4 linked regions of the Sus scrofa genome follow. The protein of the gene in region 2 purifies or fractionates together with the protein of the main gene of each other region. This does not show direct contact. Links are inferred from orthologs where the notes say so. Each region holds a gene or a part of one and is shown on either strand. Other genes may lie near its edges. The genes, in order: PLCG1, ALK, SHC1 and GRB2.

The links.
Region 1: the proteins of ALK (region 2) and PLCG1 purify together in Homo sapiens (affinity purification with western blotting; 3 studies listed by BioGRID, with this or other methods). This does not show direct contact. The link is inferred for Sus scrofa from reciprocal best matches to the Homo sapiens genes ALK and PLCG1.
Region 3: the proteins of ALK (region 2) and SHC1 purify together in Homo sapiens (affinity purification with mass spectrometry; 3 studies listed by BioGRID and IntAct, with this or other methods). This does not show direct contact. The link is inferred for Sus scrofa from reciprocal best matches to the Homo sapiens genes ALK and SHC1.
Region 4: the proteins of ALK (region 2) and GRB2 purify together in Homo sapiens (affinity purification with western blotting; 3 studies listed by BioGRID and IntAct, with this or other methods). This does not show direct contact. The link is inferred for Sus scrofa from reciprocal best matches to the Homo sapiens genes ALK and GRB2.

What each region holds. Positions count from the first base shown.
Region 1 is NC_010459.5:43,832,810-43,838,037, forward strand, and holds part of PLCG1 (1-phosphatidylinositol 4,5-bisphosphate phosphodiesterase gamma-1), read left to right. Parts: intron 1-22; coding exon 23-95; intron 96-194; coding exon 195-296; intron 297-485; coding exon 486-604; intron 605-685; coding exon 686-771; intron 772-842; coding exon 843-963; intron 964-1,613; coding exon 1,614-1,782; intron 1,783-2,147; coding exon 2,148-2,270; intron 2,271-2,349; coding exon 2,350-2,451; intron 2,452-2,530; coding exon 2,531-2,718; intron 2,719-2,922; coding exon 2,923-3,123; intron 3,124-3,193; coding exon 3,194-3,313; intron 3,314-3,403; coding exon 3,404-3,584; intron 3,585-4,423; coding exon 4,424-4,501; intron 4,502-5,228. UniProt on the Homo sapiens protein: Mediates the production of the second messenger molecules diacylglycerol (DAG) and inositol 1,4,5-trisphosphate (IP3). Plays an important role in the regulation of intracellular signaling cascades.
Region 2 is NC_010445.4:109,409,142-109,415,042, reverse strand, and holds the start of ALK (ALK tyrosine kinase receptor), read right to left. Parts: upstream 3,898-5,901; 5' UTR 2,872-3,897; coding exon 2,181-2,871; intron 1-2,180. UniProt on the Homo sapiens protein: Neuronal receptor tyrosine kinase that is essentially and transiently expressed in specific regions of the central and peripheral nervous systems and plays an important role in the genesis and differentiation of the nervous system.
Region 3 is NC_010446.5:94,820,750-94,826,738, reverse strand, and holds the start of SHC1 (SHC-transforming protein 1), read right to left. Parts: upstream 3,906-5,989; 5' UTR 3,550-3,905; coding exon 3,055-3,549; intron 2,487-3,054; coding exon 2,416-2,486; intron 1,827-2,415; coding exon 1,763-1,826; intron 1,611-1,762; coding exon 1,491-1,610; intron 1,215-1,490; coding exon 1,161-1,214; intron 969-1,160; coding exon 917-968; intron 747-916; coding exon 620-746; intron 1-619. UniProt on the Homo sapiens protein: Signaling adapter that couples activated growth factor receptors to signaling pathways. Participates in a signaling cascade initiated by activated KIT and KITLG/SCF.
Region 4 is NC_010454.4:5,939,019-5,944,779, reverse strand, and holds the start of GRB2 (growth factor receptor-bound protein 2), read right to left. Parts: upstream 4,058-5,761; 5' UTR 3,927-4,057; intron 1-3,926. UniProt on the Homo sapiens protein: Non-enzymatic adapter protein that plays a pivotal role in precisely regulated signaling cascades from cell surface receptors to cellular responses, including signaling transduction and gene expression.

The sequences.
Region 1 (5,228 bases), on a different chromosome or scaffold from region 2:
GCGCTTGTCTTCTTTCCTGCAGGGCAGGGGAGCGGCCAGAGCTCTGCCGGGTGTCCCTTCCTGAGTTCCAGCAGTTCCTCCTCGAGTACCAGGGGGTACGGCTGGGCTGGGGTTGAGCCAGGGTGCTGGCTGAGGGGGCTGGGCACACCGCTGGCTGGAGGCCTCTCACGTGCCCTGACCTCCCTCCCCATCAGGAGCTGTGGGCTGTCGACCGGCTCCAGGTGCAGGAGTTCATGCTCAGCTTCCTCCGAGACCCCTTGCGAGAGATAGAGGAGACTTACTTCTTCCTGGACGAGGTGAGCCCTGCCTCTCACTCCCTGTCGCAGAATCAGGGAGCCGGTGGGCTGACCGGAGCCCCGCTGGGGCCTTCCCACTGTCCACTGTGCCCTCACCTGGACTGAGCACCCTCTCCTGCACCACCCTGTGCCGTGGCCCAGGGCAGGGGCTCATCATCTTCTCTCCTCTCCACATTTGTTTCTGGGCAGTTTGTCACCTTCCTGTTCTCCAAGGAGAACAGCGTGTGGAACTCGCAGCTGGATGCCGTGTGCCCAGACACCATGAACAACCCCCTTTCCCACTACTGGATCTCCTCCTCTCACAACACGTGAGTGGCCCGCTTGACCCCCTTGGCCTGACCTCAGGAGCTGGGGCTCGCCTGACCGCCCTGCCCCGCTTCCCTGTCCAGGTACCTGACCGGGGACCAGTTCTCCAGCGAGTCCTCCCTGGAAGCCTACGCCCGCTGCCTGCGGATGGGCTGCCGCTGCATTGAGTGTGCGTGGGGGCCGGCCTTGGGGGGGAAAGGGGAGGCCTGCCCGCGTGACTGTGGTCGCCTTGCTCCTCAGTGGACTGCTGGGACGGCCCAGACGGGATGCCGGTCATTTACCATGGACACACTCTGACCACCAAGATCAAGTTCTCAGACGTCCTGCACACCATCAAGGAGCACGCCTTTGTGGCCTCAGAGTGAGTGGGGTGGCTCAGCTCCAGCTCTCTCCTGGCCGCACCCCACCTTCCACCTCCTGCTGCCTGGCCTGCCAGAGCTGTGCTTCCTGCATCCTTAGCCCACCCTCTGCTTGAGGCCTTCTCCTCAGCCTGTGGTGCACAGTCAAGCTCTTCTCATCATCAAAATTACTTCCTTAGCCCTGGGCCCTGGGCCATTGTCCTGCCCACTGCTTTCCCCTCCCAACCCAGAGAATTGCCTGTGCTCCCTGTGTCTCGCTCTGCAGTTCCTGTTAGTCCTCCCAACCTGTAGTCATGGGGCTCTCCCACCTCACTGAGGGGGTCACCAGCCCCCCCACCCCCCATGGCTAATTTGGAGGCTGCTTGTCACCTCTCCTGACCTTGGGTGTGGGATGTTTCTCTTTGCTGCTGGGACAGCCTCCGTGGTTGGACCAACTCTGGGGACGCCTGTTGGCCACAGTCCCAGCCTTTGGTTTCTGCTGCACCCATAGTGCCTCTGTGAACCCTCCCCTCCTCCTGCGGTGGCAGGGCCCGCCTCTTCTCTGGGGTGGCTCTCTGGGGAAAGGACCTCAGCCCCTAGGCTCCCAGCTCGTCTCTTGGTGAGGACGTGAGCCTTGACGCTGCAGAATGGCAGGGTCTGTATCACGCACTAGGTACCCGGTCATCCTGTCCATCGAGGACCACTGCAGCATTGCCCAGCAGAGGAACATGGCCCAGTATTTCAAGAAGGTGCTCGGGGACACGCTCCTCACCAAGCCCGTGGACATCGCGGCCGACGGGCTCCCCTCACCCAATCAGCTCAAGAGGAAGATCCTCATCAAGGTAGGGCTGGCGTTCCTGTCGTGGCGCAGTGGTAATGAACCCACCTAGGATCCATGAGGATGCGGGTTCAATCCCTGGCCTCGATCAGTGGGTTAAGGATCCCGTGTTGCAGTGAGCTGTGGTGTAGGTTGCAGACACAACCTACTGTTGTTGTGGCTGTGGTGTAGGCCGGCATCTGCAGCCCCATTTGGACCCCTAGCCTGGGCACCTCCATATGCCATGAGTGTGGCCCTAAAATAGCAAAAAAAAAAAAAGGTAGGGCTGTGTGGGTCCCACCTCTGCTCCGGTGTCAGTCTGGGCCTGGGTGAGGGGGTGGGGCTCTGGGACCCAGGCTGGCATGCCATGTCCCGGCCTGTCCCCTGCAGCACAAGAAGCTGGCTGAGGGCAGTGCGTATGAGGAGGTGCCTACGTCTGTGATGTACTCTGAGAACGACATCAGCAACTCCATCAAGAACGGCATCCTCTACCTGGAGGACCCTGTGAACCACGTGAGGGCTGGGCCGGGCTGGGCCGGGGGCAGGGTGGCGAGAGGGCTGTCTCCACAGGCCTGGCTCCCCTCTCTTCCAGGAGTGGTATCCCCACTACTTTGTTCTGACCAGCAGCAAGATCTACTACTCAGAGGAGACCAGCAGTGACCAGGGCAACGAGGATGAGGAGGAGCCCAAGGAGGTGAGGGACTGGCCCAGGGCCGGGGGCTGGGCTGGGGTCAGGGTCATGGAGTGTCTCTGCCAGCGCCCTCCCCCTGCAGGCGAGCAGCAGCACAGAGCTGCATTCCAATGAGAAGTGGTTCCACGGGAAGCTCGGGGCGGGGCGGGACGGCCGGCACATCGCCGAGCGCCTGCTCACAGAGTACTGCATCGAGACCGGAGCCCCGGACGGCTCCTTCCTCGTGCGCGAGAGTGAGACCTTCGTGGGTGACTACACCCTCTCCTTCTGGTAAGCCTCCCTGCGCCTGCACATGTGGAGAGGGCGCCCCTGGGACAGCCACCCTGCAGCGTGGCACAGGTGCCCGTGGGCGCACAGGCTTCCTCAACGTGAAGACCCTGTGGGGCTCGCCTTTCTCCCCGAGACGGGGCGCCTCGCAGCGAGTGGAGGGTGGTCGGGCCGGCCTGCTGCTCACTGCCTCCCTGTCCCCCTCAGGCGGAACGGGAAAGTCCAGCACTGCCGGATCCACTCCCGGCAGGACGCTGGGACCCCCAAGTTCTTCCTGACAGACAACCTCGTCTTCGACTCACTCTACGACCTCATCACACACTACCAGCAGGTGCCCCTGCGCTGCAACGAGTTTGAGATGCGCCTCTCTGAGCCGGTCCCGCAGACCAACGCCCACGAGAGCAAAGAGTGAGGGCGGGGCCGGGGCGGGGCCGGGAGTGGGTGGGGGCGGGGCCAGGGCTGACTCCGGCGTCCACAGGTGGTACCACGCGAGCCTGACCAGAGCGCAGGCCGAGCACATGCTGATGCGCGTGCCCCGGGACGGGGCCTTCCTGGTGCGGAAACGCAATGAGCCCAACTCCTACGCCATCTCCTTCCGGTGAGGGGGCGCCCTGGGACCCCGGGGGTGGTGCCAGCACGCCTGGTCCCAGCTGTCCTGACCCTGTGTGACTGCTGTGTCTCTGTCAAGGGCTGAGGGCAAGATCAAGCATTGCCGTGTCCAGCAGGAGGGCCAGACTGTGATGCTGGGCAACTCGGAGTTTGACAGCCTCGTGGATCTTGTCAGCTACTATGAGAAGCACCCGCTGTACCGCAAGATGAAGCTGCGCTATCCCATCAACGAGGAGGCATTGGAGAAGATCGGCACAGCTGTGAGGACCTGGTGGCTGGGGGCAGTGGCGGGGGGGGGGTGCCTGGCAGGCCGCGGAGAGACCTGTGTGGTCCTCCAGAAATTCTCAGGCTTGCTGCCGGGCAGGGTGCACCTAAGGGTCCTTGGGTGATTGGATGGATGCAGTGGAGAGGCCCAGGGCATTTCAGCAGCTTGTGGGAGGGCTAGCTCGCCCAGCTGGGGGCACACAGGGTGCCAGGAGGTGTCCAGGAGGGAGTGGTCTCTGGGTGGTGTCCACAGGACAGGCATGAGTTAGGAGTGAAGAGGTGGAGACAGGCATTCAGTTAGAGTGTCCACAGTGGGCCGGGTAGGGAGGTCTTCACACTCTCACAGGGAGAGCCCAGGCCGGGGAGCACAGGCTCCACGCAGAGATGTGGTCGAGGCGGGCAGAGCCCCAGTGGAAGACCACTGAGGAAAGAAGGCAGGGTCGTGGCCACGGGGAGAAGGCAGGCGTCCAGAGTGGGAGGTATGTCCACTGGAGACTCTGGTCCGAGTGGGCCCAGGTGGCCAACAAGGCCACGGAGAGGGCTGCCGCCCGCTGGGGCTGGGAGGTGAGAGGTGTGTGCTGGGAGCACTTGGGGTGGCGGTGGGGGTCCTGGCGCCTGCATGGCTATGCCGTGCGCCTCGCCTGCAGGGCAGGTCTTCAGGAGCTGGGCTGTGGGCTGGGCAGTGAGGTGAGAATGTGGAAAGAGGGGCTGAGGCGTGAGGTTGGGGCAGCCCAGTGGACCAGGTGTCAGCGGTGGGGGCGGACTCGACGGGTCTCGTGAGGAAGCCAGCTTTCCTCGCTGGGTGTTAATGTCCTCTGTCCTGTCCTGTTTCCAGGAGCCTGACTACGGGGCCCTGTATGAGGGCCGCAACCCTGGCTTCTACGTGGAGGCCAACCCTATGCCGACTTTCAAGGTACAGCCTAGTGCTCTGGGCACAGGAAGCTGGGGAGGGTCCCCAGCTGCTCGGGGATTGCATTTCTCTGCTCAGGGCCGCCTGTGGTCTTTGTGGAGAAGTGGTGTTTGTGGTTTTCCGAGGCCTGAGCGGTGGTGAGAGGTATGCGGTTGATGCGCAACCGCAGCTCTCCCAGGGCTGACCCCTCCCAGGCCTTGTCCCTGGGGGTCAGCCCTGACTCTTCCCGACTGCCCCTGGGGTGAGCCCCCTTTCCTCCTGGGCCGGCAGCAGGACAGGGTGGGGGCACGCTGGCCAGAAGACGTCATTTTTTGCCGCTCCGCCCCCACACCTCCAGGGGGGGGTCTGTCAGACAGGACCTTCCTCGCTTCGCCTTTTCTTCTGAGGGACGAGGAGCTGTGTTCTGCCCTCACCCCCTTTCCTCGGCAGCCCGGGAGCCTGCGGGAGTCTCTTGCCTACTTGGCAGAGGAGGAATGGCGGGGTCCCAGCCACACCCCAAGGTCCCCTGGTCTCAGGGGAGGCACTCAGCACCCACAGACGCTCCCTTCCCAGCCTCCCAGCCTGACGCCCGGGGCAGGGGCTTCAGGGTTCCACCCAGACCCCATGGAGCTTCCCGCAGGCCCAGGGCCAGGACTGCAACGAGGGCGGGTTTCCGGCAGTGACAGCCGAGCCCAGGCACACGCGTGTGCGCAGGTGGAGCAGGGAGGGCCTGTCCGCCGTGCTCAGCGCG
Region 2 (5,901 bases):
TCATTTGATCCCAATCCTACTGAAAAATACTTGGCGAAAATTTCTAGCCTTTTAATGGCAGAATTCTGGCTCTTTCTAAAACCAGCATTGCTAGAAGTGTCAAATGATGCATAAGGGCTTGGTCCAGCTGCCAAATGAACTGTGCTGCTGAGGGAGGACTTCGTGTGTTCATTGTGCTTCCCTACTGCCAGTAGCGGATCAGCTCCTAGAGCACACTAATCTCTACATGAAACTCCCCCACTCAGCAGCTTCAACTCTTTATCTAATGCGTGACTGGAATACGTGTGTGTAACTGTGTGTCTCTTCAGAGACACCACTGATTACTTCATGCAATCTGCTTTCTTACAGTAGGTAAGTTCAGGGCTGCAGAAAGGACCCCTCTTGCCCATCACCAACATCTGACAACAGCTGGATCTAGACTGCTAGGGCCTAGGACCATTCAACAAGAGGTAACGAGAAATCTCCAGAGATGCTCAGAGACACAAAAGTGAAAGAAAATCTGCATTCCCAGAGAAGTAATTTTTATATCCATTACAAAAACATTAGGCACTAAAAGAGAATGTTGCATGTATAAACCACAGAAGCCAAGACAACATTAAAGCACAGCTGTTCTTTACAAAAGTATCCATGGTGAGGCAACAGTATTGGTCTCCTATCTCAGTTCACAGAAGACACTATCAAATTCATCAGGCCCTGCCTCTTGCCATGGACTGGTATAAACTCCAACGTTGAACACAAAGGGGTCATTTTAGGTGTCAATGCCACTAATGGTAATGCTGAAATATTCATCCAGACTTTGATTTCCCTGGGGACCATATACCAATGTTTTCTCTGCCATGACTAAGAAAGCTTAGCTTCTGAATATCCCTGCTGCACGACTCTTGGGTGTATGTGGGAGGATATGTGTGTGTTGGGACAAGCATGAGAGATACTTGTAGCTCTACAATGGGCTTTTTTCAAGGCTTTCAGTCCAATTAATACTAGACATTAGTAATCAGTGGAGCATAAGAAGTTCATTTATTTCTGACGATGAGAATGACAGAAAAGATGCTGAGTTTTGCTCAATGGAATTAGTGTAGGCTTTTTAAAAGCATGATTTCTTTTCTGTGTTTTCTCAATCATTTACACTGCATATTTTATTTGCAAGTCTTTCCCCAGTGGTCTTACAAGAGAAACTGTCCATTCAAAATCACCTAGTTTTCCAGGCAAAGGATACTATGGGAAGAGTTAGAAGTAAGTGCCTGCATACACACCCCCAACTCAGTGAATATGGGAAGAAAATGAGAGAGTAAATGAAACAGAAACCTCATTTCAGGAATCTCCAACAGAGAGATCTGCAGTGAAATAGGCCTGGCAGAGACTGTAACCCAGATCTTCTGCTGCAGACATTCAAGCTAAGAATTAGAAGGAAGAAACTGAAGGCACAGGAAGAAAGGGAAATCAACCACTGTCTCTCCCTGGCTTCAGAGTGACTCCCTCAAAGGAAAACAATTTTGGCAACTTTGCTCCCTCCCTCCACATCTCCCTCCTGTCCCCTATCCCTTAGTTCCCGTGGGGATCTCCCAAGACATCTGAGAGGAAGAACAAGAGTCTGTGAGTGGAGAGCAGCCTGGGGTTGGGTGGAGAATAGAATGAATTTATGAGGAAGAGGCAATTCCTAGGTAAACCAACATTTAGAGGGCATAGTTGGGTGGGATTTAACAATATGAAGAGGAGTTCTATATTCTCTGAGAAAGTGTATCACGTTCCCCAAACCTGTGGTGGCCAGAAAGAGGAACAAGAGGAAAAGAAGAAAGACAACAATTTTGAGATCTAGAACTAAGCCTTCGGAACACAGAAGTAATAAAGGGATTTCAAACGTCCCAGAAACCCCAGAAGACAGGCATTCAATTTTAGCTAAGATCTTGTGTAAGATAGTAGAAATCGTCATTCTCCCAAGACCAGGAAACTTTTTCCCCAAAGTGGTTGCTAGATAGAAAGGGAGAATCCCTTGGAGAGTGACTGTTCAGGGATAAAAATTTTTAAATATGGTCTAACTGAAAAAGGGGGGTTGCGGAAGGAGGGAAAGAAAGCTAAGAATCGCGAGCTGAGGTTTTGGAAATGAGGGTTAGTAAATAGCGGTTGAAAACTGATGCGTGTAAGAAACCAAATCCCGAAACGCTCGGGCACGAGCTGCTCACCGGTCCTGGTCTCCAAGATCTGGAAGAGAAGGCGGGGCTGTGAGGCGCGGATCGCAGCGGACAGCCTTCCCTCTCTGCCCACTTCCGACGCCTTCTTCTCGGGCATCAGGCGGATCCTCAGCCGCCCTTCGCCGTGGCGAATCCACCAGCTGAACAGCTCACTGAGGTTGAACTGGAGCAGCCCCACCGTCGTCTCCTCGGGGGGCCCTACACAGCCCTCAAGGATCGCTTCCTCTCCGAGCTCCAGCACCAGCTGCTTGGCGCGCCGGAGCTTGCGAATAGAGCCTCCCTTCAGCACCCTGGACAGCGTCCGTGCCTGGGCCGGGGCGGGAGAGCTGGCACCTGCTGTCCAGGAGACCTCGGGTGAAGGCCCCACCAGCCTAAGCAGTGGGGCGCAGTCGAGAACCAGAGAGCCGCGTGCCTCCAGCCGGCCAGTCCTCGGTTCCGAGGGGGACAGCGGCGGCAGCAGCAGGTCCCGGGCATAGACGCGAAAGAGCGAGGGCACCACAAAGTCCACCGCCAGGCTCTTTCTCTGCAAGCGCGAGTAGCTAAGCGGCTCCCGGGGTTGCAGTGCCAGCCCCATGGCCGGTGAGACCACGCGCTGGCCGGTTTCTGTCCCAGTCCCGGAACTCGAGGCTGCCGCTAAAAGCAGCAGCAGCAGCAGCGGCCATAGAAGCCCTATGGCTCCCATCCCGTCAGAGAGGGGTTGTTTATACTATCTCCCGACTCTCCCAGATCCAGCCTCGCCCTCCGCTTCCCTTAAATGGGAAGGGGCTCCGAACAGTGTTGATCCTGAGCCGCTCCTTCCACCTGATCTCGGGGGTTTGTGCACTCGATTCTCTTTCCTCCAACTGCAAGGAGGCAAGCAGTAATCTCAGTAAAACGGAGCTGGAAGCTCAGGGGCGTGTCAAGAGACCCTGAAGCGCAAAGGGCTCAGCAGCTGGGACCTTGTGCCTCTCGCCCGCCTCGCGGAGTGCCGCGCCCCGGGTTTTGCAGCTCACTGCGCCTGGAATGAGAGAGACGACTACGGTTAAAGAGAGATGGCAACTGGGTACCGTCCTCTCCTGCCCCCCGCGGCCTGAGCTGTGGTCTGTCCTCTCTTGCGCGGCCTTCAATCCTCTGCAACTTTCCTACTGTGAAAGGTGGCTCCGAGCTGGTCTGTTGTCCGGTCCGCCTCCTGAGCTGCCTTCGGCTCCTCTGAGCTCCTCTTCCTCGTCTTGAGAGGGAACCGAGGGCAACAGCTGCTTTCGCGCGCACCCTCCTGCGACCCTCTGCAGTGGGAAGTCTTCCGATTGCACTACTCACTGAACTTCTGGACCTAAACCGAGACCGCGCTGAGGAACGGACGCTCAGGCTGCCGCCGCGCAAGTTTGCAGCGTCCTTGCTCTCCTTCAGCGTCTGGTCTCAGAGTTCTGAGGCACCAAAGCGGCCCCAGCGGCCGCAGCCGAGTGAAAGCATTCAGGGCCGGAGAGACCGAAAGCTTGCTGCCCCCTCCTCACCCATCGGCAGCTCTCTCGGCTTCAGTGGCTGGCCAGAGAGCGACTGGAAGTCGCCTCTGTGCCCCGCGACCCTCAGGATCGTGACAGCGGGGCTGCCAGCTGCTACCGCCCCCAGAGCTGCTCTAACGCATCTGCCGGGGCGCCAGCCACTTGCAGCTGGCTGAGCCGCGAGCGCGCGCCGAGAGGGGGCGGGGCAGGATCGGGGGCGGGGCTCGAATGCCCACTCTCTGCCGCTGCAGGGCCCACGAAGGCCCGCCCCGCCCCGCTCGCACTCGCCAGCCAATTGCGCGGCGAGGTCGGCTCCTATGTAAATCTGCAGAAGACTCTGCTTTCATTGAGAAAAGCAAAGAGCCCTCCCCGCCCTTCCTCCATTCCTCTTCCCCCTCTCCTTCCTTCTCCTCCTCCAGATCCCCTGCCCTATTTCGCTGCTGTGTACAGAAAGAAGCGTGTTTTGGTAAATGGGAGGACTGGAAGAACAATCAAGCACTCTCCCTGATTTTGCATTTAAACGGGTCCGACTTCGGAAAAGCAGTTCTGGAATAAAACTGGAGGCCAAAGGAAGGGAGGAGGGGGAGGAGGGGGAGGAGGGGCAGAGCGACGTCGCCAAATTTGGGGGGGGACGGTCAGGGGGTGGGAAGTGACTGGCAATCTGCAGAGTTGTCATTCAGCTATAACAAACAAATTTCAGACCTCAGTCACCCCACGTTTACTCAGAATGCTGTTTAAATGTGTCACCTTATTTACATTGCAAGGTAAATATTTTAGGGATAAGGAAACCGAGTCACAGAGATCTTAACTGATTTTCCTAGGGTAACATAGTCCTACGTGCCTCCCAAGCTCTTACCCACTGCTCTGCCATACCCCTCTAGGAGTAACAGGCCAAGAAGATCTAGAAGTGACTTATCTAGAAGGAATAATGATCAGTACTCTTGCACACAGCCTTGGGAGTAAGAGTTCAGAACTGCAGGCCCGTTTTTATTCACCTGTGAAGTGAGAGCTGTATATTTCATCTCTCCATTGATCTCTCCTGAGTTACTATCATAGGATCTGGATAAATGCTGTGTTTACAGCAAGAGGTTCACTAAAATCATAGACAAAAGTACAGTCTTTGGTGCACAGAGTGGAGCTGAATCTCCCTTATGGAGCAGCAAAGAATGATCTATTCCAGAAAAGTGATGCTCCTACCTTGGTAGAGGAAGGAAAGGAAAGAGGGAAAAAAAAGAAGAGGAAGAAGAAGGTATGTTGGTTAATTCTTTCCTAGCATGTGAGCAAATAAGTTTAGATTTTCGTCGGACATCACTGGCATGCATATTGGTGGAGGGGTAATTTTTGTTTTGAAACACTAGAAAGACTAAAATGTAGGTCCTTTTATTCCCCACTCCAGCCCTTATTTCTCTATATAATTCTTGTCCAAAGTCAAATTGACTCCAGGAATTTGTCAATAACTATGAATTGGCTACAATCAATGGCCACTAGGGGGCTGCAGAGACTTTCAACTTCAGGTGCCCAGAAGGTTTACCATTCTCCCAAATAATCACCAAGACCATTGCCTATGAACCTAGTGGACACAGGAGTCTCAATTAATTATCATGCTTTTATAAACTTTCTCAAATTTCCCAAAAAGAAGGACAAGTGCCTCCCACTACAGACTAAATAATTTTTAAGTATTAAAAATATGGTTACCTTTTTGTTAATTTAGAAAAAGAGGCAGAAATGAGTTTTGACAGAGTTTATCTGTCACTATACATATGGATTTGTAAAACAAAGAGTGTGTGTGTATGTGTGTGTGTGTGTGTGCGCACACGCATGTGTATCACATCATATAGTGGCCTTCTGAGAAAAGGTACATATTTTATTTCCATTGCAGAGACAAAAAAGCTAAGGCTCAGAGAGGCAAAATAATTTGCCCAAGGTCAAACAGCAGGTAAATAACAGAGCTAGAACACACATCAGTGATTCTTTTCCTCCAAAATTTACATATCCCACTGAGACAAATTTGGCCTCTTCCCCAAGCCTACAGCTACAATTTTGACATTTCTATGCTATATATATATCATTGCCACTGGGCAATAGAAAAGAGCAGTTCAGAGCAAGTGGACAAAATAGAAACAGATTAAAAGTATGAGCAGAAGTGGTAACTAAAACATCTTGTGTAAATATTATGAACCATCATATTTCAAAATAATTTTCATGCATTACCTCACTTAAGATTCATACTAACA
Region 3 (5,989 bases), on a different chromosome or scaffold from region 2:
ACAGCCATAGCAATGCCAGATCCAAGCCATGACCTACCCCGCAGCTCACGGCAACGCCGGATCCTTAACCCAGAGACAGAGGCCAGGGACTGAACCTGAATCCTCATGGATACTAGTCGGGTTTGTTACCGCTGAGCCACAACAGAATCTCCCTCTGGAATATTTTAACCTCCCCTAAATTCTCAACACTGCTGGTCTGAAGTGGGAGAGGTAAGGATCTCAGGAAAGAGCCATGCTCCCTCGCCCAAATTCTTGATGGCTTCTAGGGGCAAGAAGGCACTAAATATGGAGAAATGGGCAAGAGAGAGGGACAGGCCAGAAAGAGATGGCTGGGACTAGGAAAGCCCATCCAGCCAGGAAGAGCTGGAGCGGGCGGCCCTGGACTACAGCTCCAGCACGGGCACCCGAGAGGAAGAGCTGGCCTGGCAGCAGGCAGGGCCTCGAAAGGCCTTCCCCATGGCCTCAGGAAACGTAAGAATAGCAGGAAGTGGGAAGCAGGGGCTCACAGGTTATTTCCTTCCCTGCTCCTCTCTGAGCTCAAGCGTGGGAAGAGCAGACCTACTTTTCCAATTCCGGTCCCAGCCCGAGAGCTGCCCCCCCCCACCGCTCGCCTGCTCACCTGTCATGAGGGGTGACCAGCTTGGGCGGGTTCCTGAGGTATTGTTTGAAGCGCAACTCAAAGGCCTGGCCAATGGTGCTGATGACGTCCTGAGCAAGCCCTTCGGGACACTCCAGGATGTGGCAGGCTGGGGGCACAGCAGAGGCTGTCAGGGAACTCGGGGGGAAGGCGGGGGGCACGCACAGACGGGGCCCTCGCCCTCATTCTCCGCAGCAGGAGCCCCTGCTGAGCTCCCGGGTCCTGCTCACCTGTCTCTCTGACAGCCGGCCCCACCCAGCGCTCCCCACCACGCCTCACCTCTCTGATTCACCGGGTCTTTGGCAACATAGGCGACATATTCGGCTGTGTCCTGGGGTAGACAGAATCAGAAGAGGCCAGTTAGCTCAACGGTAGAGCCCCACCTCAGTCCTGACCCCTCAAACCCGGCCCTAAGCAGCTATTGCCTCGGTCCTAGCACACTCACCTCTCTAGCCAGTTTTCCCCCCCCCCATCCCAAGCCCCTCTCTCCTCTCCCACCACCTTGGTGCACTCCCCGACTCACCGGGTCCCCGCCGGACGCAAACGAGATGGATTGCATATGGTGGTTGGCGATGATCTGAGGGTTAGGGCAGAGGATGGAGAAGGAAGGGAAGGACGGGTGTCAGGCAGCCTGAGGGTCCACTGGGCACCCCCCACCACTGGCCCGGGACCCCAGCGTCCCTTTGGCTTCTCAACCCATGTCCTCCTAATCTACACCTTCCCTACAGCTCTGCTGCGCCCAAGGCTTCTCTGCTAAGTTCTTGCCCTCGTGGCCAGGTTCCCACTGAGCCTTCCCATCGGTGTTTCTGCACGCCCTCACCCCCCGCCCTGACCCTGACTCCACCCCACCAACCTGTTTGCAGTCTGCGGCCATGAGGTTGAGGCTGCTGGTGGAGACGGTGAGAGTGATTGGCATTCCAGCAAATTTCAGGTTACTCCTCCCCAGGATGGAGCTGAGTGGGCGGCCACAGGGCTGGGGAAGGGCCCCAGGTCTCAGAAGCTGGGAGATCCCACACCAGGAAACCGCCCGCACTCCTGCCCTTCTCCCCACACGCGCCACACTAGCCTTGCCCCTGCTCCTCCGCATCTCCCGGCAGCATCCCCCGTGCCGTGGACCCCAGGTACCTTTCTCCTCCTTGTCGCCCCCTTCGCACCCGGCACAGCCTCACACACCAGACTGATGGCCTCCCTGGGGAAAGAGGGGTACTCAGACCCAGAGCCTGCCTCCCACTCGGCTGGGGCTGCCACAGGGCTGGGGGAGGGGAAGGCCAGGCCAGACTCCAGGGGCACTCCAGGCTCTTTGTCGTGGTGGATTGAATTAAGGGCCTTTAATATTTGATGACACTGAGAGGCCGCTTCCTGGCTGATTGGGTTAGGGCCTCAGTGGGTCTGGCCCCACCCCCTTCCAGCTACCAAATGTCCCAGCCCCTTCCCAAAGGCGGTGGTGGTGGTGGTGGTGGTGGTGGCGGCAGTGGTGGTGGCGGCGGTGGTGGCGGCGGCAGCGGCGGGCAGCAACCTTCCATCTACCCCCATTTTCCACTCAAGCTCCAGCTGCCAGCTGCCTCTGCCACCTCCCCCACAACTCCCCAGGCTGGATACGTAGAAGGAGCCGGGTCAGAGTTGTCTCTTTTCATTGAGACTTAGACTGACTCTCCTACCTGTCTCTAAATCGCCTTCCCCACCCAAAGACAAGCCAGCACTAGCCACCACCACCAAGCGACCCCCTCCCGGCCTGAATGCCAGGAGCCCTGCGCTCTCGGCCCCGCCTCCCCACGAACCTGGTGACCTGAGTCCGGGTGTTGAAGTCCAGGGCGCGCATCGACTGCAGGACCTCCACACAGCCCATGTACTGAGGGGAGGGATGCGAGGAGGAGAGTCAGCCGCCCCCCTCCAGCCTCTTCACAAAGGGCCGTAGGACTCTGCCCTACGTGGTCCCTCAGGGAAGAAGAGATGAAGTTCTGCCCCGCTGCCCGTGGCTCCATCCCACAGAGTGCAGGACAATAGGGGGTGAGGAGAGAAGGGCGAGCTAGGAGGACCTCCTGCACAGTGGGGGGTGGGGGGAGGGAATTTGGAGGGGAGCGACAGGCCCTGGCTGGGATGGAGTGACAACTCCAGAAAGGGGGAGCAGACTGGAGGGGAGTCACTCAAGAGCCACTCATTCCAACACTTACTAAGGGCCTGTCCTGGGCTTTGTGCTGAGCATGGCAGGCTGGGGGTAGGGGTGGGGGAGTCGCAGGACCCAAGGGGACCCAGACAGAGCTGGAAGAGAAGGGGCTACAGAATCAGAGAAGGCGCACAAAAGGCTTAAGAAACAGGACACGGAAACCAAGGGAGTTGCTGGGGAAAAGAAGGGGCGAAAAAGAGAGACTCATGAGCAGAGGAACTGAAGGGGTCAGGGAGGGAGGACGCTCACTCACCCGAACCAAGTAGGAAACCCCGGGTCCCATGACTTTGTCGTTGGGATGCAGCCAGCCCCGCGTGGGCTTATTGACGAAGCTCCCGTGGCGGGTCCACTCCTCGCCCCCCAGCTGGCCCCCTTCCACCCGAGTCCTGCGCCCGCCGCCTCCACTCAGCTTGTTCATGTCCTGGAGGAAGGGTAGGGGGCCCGAGTCGGGTACAGCTGCCCCGACGGTCCCCTCCCCATCCTCGGCTGCCCTTCCTGGCTCCCCCTTCGGCCCTGGGCGCCCCCCAGCTGGGTTGGCCAGCTTCAGGTTGCTCATCCGGGGGAAGAAGGAGCACAGGGTGGTGGGGCTGTCGTCCCCTGGCAGAGGTGGCAGCATGGGCCCCAGGGACGAGGCTGACGGGGAAGGCAGCTCCTCTGGTGGAGTGGACCCTGAAGCCCCCTCCTCCAGCGATGACAGAGACTCATTCCGAAGTGGGTTGTACTTGGGCTTGGGGGGCAGGAGATCCATGGCTGGAGTGAGAGGGAGGCTGCTGCCCAGCCTGGCCCCCCTGCCAGTCAGGGCAAGGGGGCCAGGCAGGGGGCATCCCCAGGCCCTTAGCCTGATCGGACCTCTGTGGCCCAGGGGTCTCAAGGGTCCTGGGGAGGGAGAGGGACAAGTGGCTCTGGCTCCCGCGGCTCAGACCCAGACAGTTCCAGGCCCCATCTCTGCCCAGCGTGGAGCCTCTTCTCTGGCTGAGAGGAGAACAGGCTGGACCTAGAGCTGCCTGGCTCCTCCCCAGGGGCGGGGAGCAAAGGGGAGAGACCAATCCCGTGGACAGTGCTGACTCACAGGCTCTGAGGGGCTGAGCCCCCAACACCGCCCCAACCTAGAACTCTTTCGGGGCAGAGTGCACCGTGCCCCCACCGCCCGCCCCACCCCCGTCCCCCCCCCCGCCCCCACCCCGGCCCACCCCGTACAAACAACATGTAATCTAGGGAGGAGTAGAGTGGGATTGGAAGGGAAGGATGGAGGGGTGAGAAGGAAAGGAGGGCGATAAGAGGAGGTCTGGATCAATCCAAACCGGACATGGGCAGGTCAAAGGGAGCAGGAAGCTGGTGGGGGGAGTGGGGAATGAGGGAGGAAACAGAGGCAGCTGGGGGTGGGAAAGGGAGGGGATCCCTGAGCTCAGCATTTCCCTTCCTGTCCTGGTCGAACACTCAGATTCCCTCATCCCCCAGCACCCCCTAGTCTCGGTCATTAGCATCCTCCGCTGCAACAGCCGGGGAGGGAGCTACAGAAATGGGAAAAGGAAGGACATGGTCCCGGTGGATGCAGAGAGGGGCCAAGGGGAAGGGCAGAGCTGGTGAAGTAAGGGAATGAAGTCCCTTACTTCATCATCATGATGGGTGTTGCATCAGGGAGCCACCAGGCAGGAGCCGGAGCAGACGACAGGCTGGTGGAGGCTTGTTCTCTGCATGGCGTCTACCATGCCAAGGAGCAGCAACTCATGCCAGGCACCCTTCTGCAGCCCCCCACCACTTTCCGCAGCCAAGCAAGTTATCAAGGGTAGGAGGGGTGGGGGCTGCCAGGGCACTGACACTAACGTCAGTGCCCTGGACCTGCAGGTAAGCTCCTACCCCTCCTCTGGCCGTAGGGACCCTAGAGAGTACAGGTATCCACCACAGAGCCCGAGGCCCCACCCCGCCAGGGGCAGCGTCTGGCTGGGGAGGGGAGAGTGAAACAGTTCTCCAAGAGGAGGGGGACGGGGGCTACAGGCCACGAAGGGATAGGGTAGGCAGAAGACCAATCTGTGCCAAGGGGAAAGGAGTGCCAGGAAAAGGAGGACTGAGGCTGGACACAGGAAACAGTCTCAAACCCATTCCTTCCACCCACAGCTTCACGCCAGCTCTGCTCGAGGGGGCCATGGAGGCAGCTGGAAAGTGACCAAGAAATAAAGAGTGAAAGATATATATAGCCCCCCAGGCTGGCCTCGGAATATCTATCCTTAAATTTATCTCCCAGGATAAAAAGACAGCAAATAATCATAGGATTATAGTGATCAACAGCACCAGCACTTCGAACGTGTCAGACACTGTGCTTATCACCTCCTCTTGGTCCACAACGGAGGAGAGCTTTGCCACTCCATTTGCCACTCCTGGGAAGAAACTCTATGGCTCTCTTTCCTAAGGCCTCAGCTCCCAGGCCTAGAGAGAATGAAGAAAGTATGCTGCCGGAGCCTCACACCTTCCACACACACAAACACACACCAGGATGTGCTCATCTTCAGAGGCAGGCATTTGGTGGCTGCCTGCAGGATCCAGAGGTCGTGGATGACCAACAGGTGTGGGCATCGTCAGACAAAAGAGAGGAAGCAGGGCTCTTTAAATTTACGTAGGAAGAAAAGAGATTGCTACTGAGAGTCCTGGCCTCTGGGTGTGGGGAAGAAGCTGCGTGTGGCGCCTCAGCCCAGTAGGGAGGAGGAGGCAAGAGCGGCGGAAAGTAGCAGGAAATGGCGAAAGCCTCAGGAATGTTTCCAGAAGGGAAGGCTGGGCAAGCGGGAAAGAGGAATGCCCAGACTAGAACTCTGGTTAGGGGGAAGGGAAGAGCCAGAGAAATGCTGCGGCCTGAGGAGGCCCTTAAAAAAAAAAAAAAAAAAAATCAAAGAGCAAAAAGGACACTGTTCCCTAACCCACTGCAAGCCACTTTCTGGTGATAGAAAATTTGCGCTTCTGTCACACCCACATGTCGCACATCAACAAATCCATGGCCCTACCCAGCTCCCGACGATGACCACGACGACGACGATGGACAGGTATGAGACAAACAGCTGTTTCTGGGGTGGAGTCGGTCCTGGGAAGGGAAACTCAGGGAGTGGGGTTGGGAGTCTATGAGCAAGTCTCCCTCCCGCTCTCGTGCCAAACCCCAAGTCCAGCCCCCTACAAGTAGGTCCACCCTTGTAAGGGGATAA
Region 4 (5,761 bases), on a different chromosome or scaffold from region 2:
AAATGTGACCCTACTTAAAACTTATCAGATGTTCTCATTATTAAATATTAATATTACAAAGAGCAAATTAAAACAATGAGACTTCTTTCATCTACCAAAGGTCAATGTTTAAAAAAGATTTATAACATCCAGTTTCTGTAATACACTGAACTAACATTCTTTACTCGATCCAATGTTTCTTAATTTAACATTATAAGCAACTACTATATGTCTAACAATATGCTTGGTACTGGATTACAATAATAAAACCATCACAGAACCCATACTCTAGCAGGGAGTTAATTAGGCCAAGCTTTTTGGCGAGTAATTTTGTAGTATCTGCTGAAATATTTAAAGTACATACCCTTGGGCAAGCCATTCCACTTCCAAGATTCACCTCACTTGAAACAGTGACACAAATACCATGTGCAAAATACTACATCTCTAACCTATTTCCATGAGCGTAACTAAGAAATATCTTTCTATATAAGTATATAAAGCAAAATAATATATATTGCGTGCTACAAAAAAAAAAATTCAAAAGGTTAACAATAATTATCTCTGGAAATGAGATCACAGAATATTTTTACTTTCCTACCATACATCTCGATTGTATTTTCATTGTCCTTACTATAAGCATGAACTGCTTTTGTAGCTAGAAAAAACAAAAACCAAAATCTTACTGATGCTCTGGAATTAGACCTGGACTCAACTGTCCCTTTACCATTTACTAACTGAGTGGGCAACAGTAGAGAAATAACTTACATTTTCTAATGCTTAGTATCCTTCAGCTGGGAAATGGGGAAAATAAGGGCATCTACACCGTATTAGGTCATTTTACTAATTAAGAGAGTCAGCACCTGTAAAAGGCCTTAGCCGAGTGCCCGGCACAGAGTGCTAAGAGGTGTTTACCGGCACCACCAGCCCCTTCTCAAATATCGGCCCCCGTGTTCTCACAATAATCCAGAACTTCCATCTACATACATACTCTGAAGAACTCTCTGGCAGGCAAATTAACAGCCCTATTAAGCATAAACTTTCAAATTAAATAGCTCCACACCAAGTCCTAACAATGCTCAAATATTCACACATACAACAACTAATCATATCTACAGCCACTTATTCTGTTAGGCTTTTAAAAATTTACTCTGTATACACTGAAAGTGTAATTTTATGCTGAGTAATTTAAAGCCACACTACCATCTCAATTTATGGATGCATTCTGTAACAACAGTTTTGGTCCTTGGACCAGCTACATCAAAATCACCTCTTTCAGGGACTGATTCACTACGAGGTGCCTTCTGAAGTTCTGCAGCACAGTGGCCTTAGGCCCAAAACCTAATTTTTTTTTTCTTTTTTTGGTCTTCTGTCTTTTTAGGGCTGCACCTGTGGCATATGGCAGTTCCCAGGCTAGGGGAAGAATTGAAGCTGAAGCCGCTGGCCTACACCACAGCCACAGCAATGTGGGATGGGGCCGCATCTGCGACCTACACCACAGTTTACAGCAACACTGGATCCTTAACCCACTGAGCGAGGCCAGGGATCGAACCCTCGTCCTCGTGGATCCTAGGCAGGTTTGTTAACCACTGAGCCACAACGGGAACTCCAGAACCTAATTTTAAGTTAAGATTCATAGGTAATTCTTATGCATGCTAAATTTAAAAAATCATGCTGTACTGTAAAGGTATCTTTACCAGATTTTAAAGTTTACATCTCAGATGATGCATAATGTCTTTGCATAAATTGAAAATAACGCCTATCCACTTGGCACAACTGTGAAAAAGCCAACTTTGACAAAAAAAAAACAAAAAACAAAAAACAAAAAAAAAACAAAGGCTCTCAATAGTCATTCAGGAGTGCCAGAAATGTCTTCTGAATTAAGCGAATAACTATTAATTTCTCTCAGGAAACCATAGTGGGTCTCTATTCCGTATTACTTCATTTCTCCAAAATCTATTACTTTTTTGTTCTAAGTAACCATTAGAACTGTTGCTACACAATGTGCAACATGGTAACAAGAATTTCGGGGAAAAATCTCTAAGTACCATCAATTAGTTGTATTGAAAAACCTAGTAATCCCTCAAATCTGAACACACTTGCTGAGGAAGTAAACTGCCTCAAGCATTTGAGTGCTTGCTTTTAGTAACAAACAAAGCTGATTACAAGAATTAACCTTTTTAAATTTGGGGGATTCAGAACATTTTAAACAAAGGAAAGGCCAACAGAACATAGTTATTTCTTTCTGTCAACCGCCTTCCCCCCTCAAGCCCAGCAACAATAACAAAGAAGGCTGCTTATAGCAGATGCAGGAAGAGACACCTGATCTTTAAAAGCCTGGGAAAGAATAAGTTAGTACTACTCCAACAGGCAAGCTTTAATTAATTCATCAGTAGTCTAAATAAATTCTATTCCCTTAAATGGTTCAAGCTCTCTTGATTGTAATATAGGTGTCTATGGTTGGTTTTCATTTTTTAAGTCGCCTCCCCCGCTAAAAGCCAAAAAGAAGGCATATGAGCCCCAAATTGACCCAATCTTCCTTACTAACATAAGAGAGACATAGAAAAACCTGAGCAGGCACAAAAATGCGATCTAAAAGTGAAAAAAAACAACTAAAACACAAAAACACCAGCAAGCTACACTTGTGATCTAGTGCAGTATTAGTGCAGTATTGGTTACGGCTGAACTCAATCCTTTGAGCCTCCCAGCTCCCAGGGGGAGACCTTAAGTCTCGCACAGCTCTCTAGCAACCCTTCTGGCTGACTGAAGAAACACAGTGGACGCTTCACAGCAAAGGATAAAGCAGGGAAGAGGGCATCATCTTTCCGGGAGAGAAACGGAATCTTTAAATGAGGGAGAAAAACGAACGGGCGAAAGAGCAGAAACCTCAAAAAATTATGCCAAAAGGGACAATAAGGAGGAAGGGGAAGTAGATTAGACTAAAAGGGGGGAGGGGGCAAGTGACTTGCATTATACGGAGTAAGCATTTCGTGGCCGCAGAAGACAAGGGAGAAGTTTAGAAAGGCAGCAACTGTGGAGTGCAAAGTGAACAGAGGGACTAGAAAGCCCAGAAGACTAAAGCGAATTTCTCTAGTGCGCCTTTCTTTTCCACCCTCTTCTGAGACTCAAGAGTAGCAAAAGACAGAACCCGCGAGGGCACTTCGGCTCTTCTGCAAAGTATACTTTTGCTGCATCTGAAGCCAGCCTAGGTGAACTCCCTAAATAAGCTGTTAACTAGCATGGCTTTACAATCCTATACACAGAGAGAGCTGCAAATGAAAAGTGCCAGCGATTCTCTGCCCTCGATCACGGAAATCTTTCTTCGGAGCATTCCGATTAACTGCTGCTTACTTTTCTTAACAAATGTTTTTAGGGAAGCAGTCAAAAAAAAAAAAAAAGCGCAATAAAAGTAAAGGTATTTCTACTGGCTCCGGTAACAAACGTCCTCGCTCACAGTATTAATAGGGTTGGTGGGTTTCCTCCCAAAATTCGGCCCCCAAACACCAGGAGTTGGTGACGTGGTGGCCGTATAGGTCGAAGGAGCATCAATCACCATATTTGCAACCCGCCTCGAATCCCCCGCCTCCCGGGCCAAGTCACACTGACTCACAGAATGATTACCCTGTGTTCTCGGGCTTCTCCGGGTCCCCCCTGTGCAAACCTTCACGAAGAAAGCATAAAATTAAATCAGGAGCCCCCAGCCTCTCGTCCAGGGCTCTGTTCCAAGCCAAGGGTACTGAGAGGACGGTCCCCGGGAAGGAAGCGCCCCAAAAGGGGAAACATGGAGCCCGGAGCCCGGGCGCTCCGCTCCCCGCCCGGAGCCTCGCACTCCCGACCCCCAGGCCCGGCAGCCCACGGTACCCTGGGCCCGGTCCCCCGGGGCCGACTCCCGCGACGAAGCGGGGAGGAAGCAGCACGCGAGCAGCGCCGTCGCCGCCAGCCACACTCACCGTGGCGCAGCTGCTCCGCTCCACGCCCGGCCGGCCCCTCTGCAGCGGTGCGAGCGGCCGCAGACCCCTCTGCTGCTCCCCGAGGGCAGCGCCTATTCTCGCCGCCGTCACCGCCACAGTCTTCGTCGTCGCCGCCGCGGTCCGGTAGCTGAAGCAGCACAGCCGCCTCGCTTCCGCTCCTGGTCGGGGTCCCGCGAGAACTTCCCTGTGCGGCCCCGCCCCGCCCCGCCCCCGCGAGACTTCCCCCGGCGGAAAAGGCCCAGAGCGCAAGCGCTCCTCCTCCGCCAGGCCCCCCGCAGGTAGATCAGCTACAGGCCAGAGCGCAGGCGCCAGGCCGCCCCGCAGCAGGTGGCACCGACAGGGCTCCACCCCTGGGTCGCCGTAACCCTTTCGGTGCCAGAGCGGGTCAATTACAACTCACCTCCGAAAGAAAGGACTTTTTTTTTTTTATGCCCCACATTTGCATGATTCAATTGTCATATTACTTTTGATGGCCGATATCAACTTATTTTTTTTTTATTTCTCCACTGTACAGCAAGGGGGTCAGGTTATCCTTACATGTATACATTACAATTACATTTTTCCCCCAGCCAAGAAAGGACTTTTATGCACACCCTAATCACTTCGTTTTCCCCTTCCACCAACCCAGTTTGGCGGGGTTGGGGGGGAATCTCCCTCCCACGTGAAGCAAGCCAAATAGAGGATCAGGTCTGGAAATATTTGAGAATCTGGTCCAAACAAACTCTGCTGCGTTAGGTGAATGAACATATTCGTTCGCTCATCGATTGAACCAAGTGCCTAGTACATTCTAAGCACTGTGTCAAGTATAGAGGGTCCAACTAAGAACAGAAATCCGGGCCCTTTCTGCACAGAAACGAATTCAAGATCTATAGGAGGGAAAGAACAAATAATACCATAAGTACGGTCAGAATTATTTGGAGAAGGCTGAGGAGAGGCGAGGGGTCGCCGCTCCTCCCATCTCAGAAAAGCGTTCTCGGAGAACGCTGTGGCGTTATCTGAGCTGTCTTGGAGGATGAGTAGGAGTTTGCCAGAGAAGCCATTGCAAGGGCATTCCAGGCAAAGGGAACAGCACGCACGTACGAGGGAACGGAGGCGTGGGCATCGTGTTCCCTGCAACGCGAAGTAGTTTGATTCCTGTATGAGGCGGGGTGAGTTACCTGGTAGTGGCAGAAGATGAGGCTTGGAGGAGTAACTCTTATTTTTCAGTCCCAATCAAAGGAGAGAACAGAGCATCTGACGGTGATGTGAATTCCGGAAGCCACCAAAAGAGCAAGATATAAAAATTAAGAAACGTGGGAGTTCCTGTCCTGGCACAGTGGTGAATGAATCTGACTAGGAACCATGAGGCTGCGGGTTCGATCCCTGGCCTTGCTCAGTGGGTTGGGGATCTGGCGTTGTCGTGAGCTGTGGTGTAGGTCGCAGACGCGGCTCAGATCCCGCATTGCTGTGGTTCTGGCGTAGGCCGGCAGCTACAGCTCTGATTGGACCCCTAGCCTGGGCCCTAGAAAGGCCAAAAAGACAAACAAAACAAAACATGATTCCCTGAAGAAAACAAGCCCGTTGAAATAAAGAGTATGAATTATTCTTTCACCAAGTATTTGTCAAGCATCAGCTGCATGCGTGGCACGCAGGGTGATAAATGAACTGGACAGAGCCTCTGTTTTCAGCAGTTTGTCTTCTAGAGGAGAGTTGTCTGGTCTGCAAGACAGAAGAGTTGGCCCTAAGGGTCACATGTAGGACCTGCAAAGGAGGGGGCCAGTTACCTGGAGCTCAGGCAATCAGGGAGGACTTGGCATTTGAACTATAACCTGGAA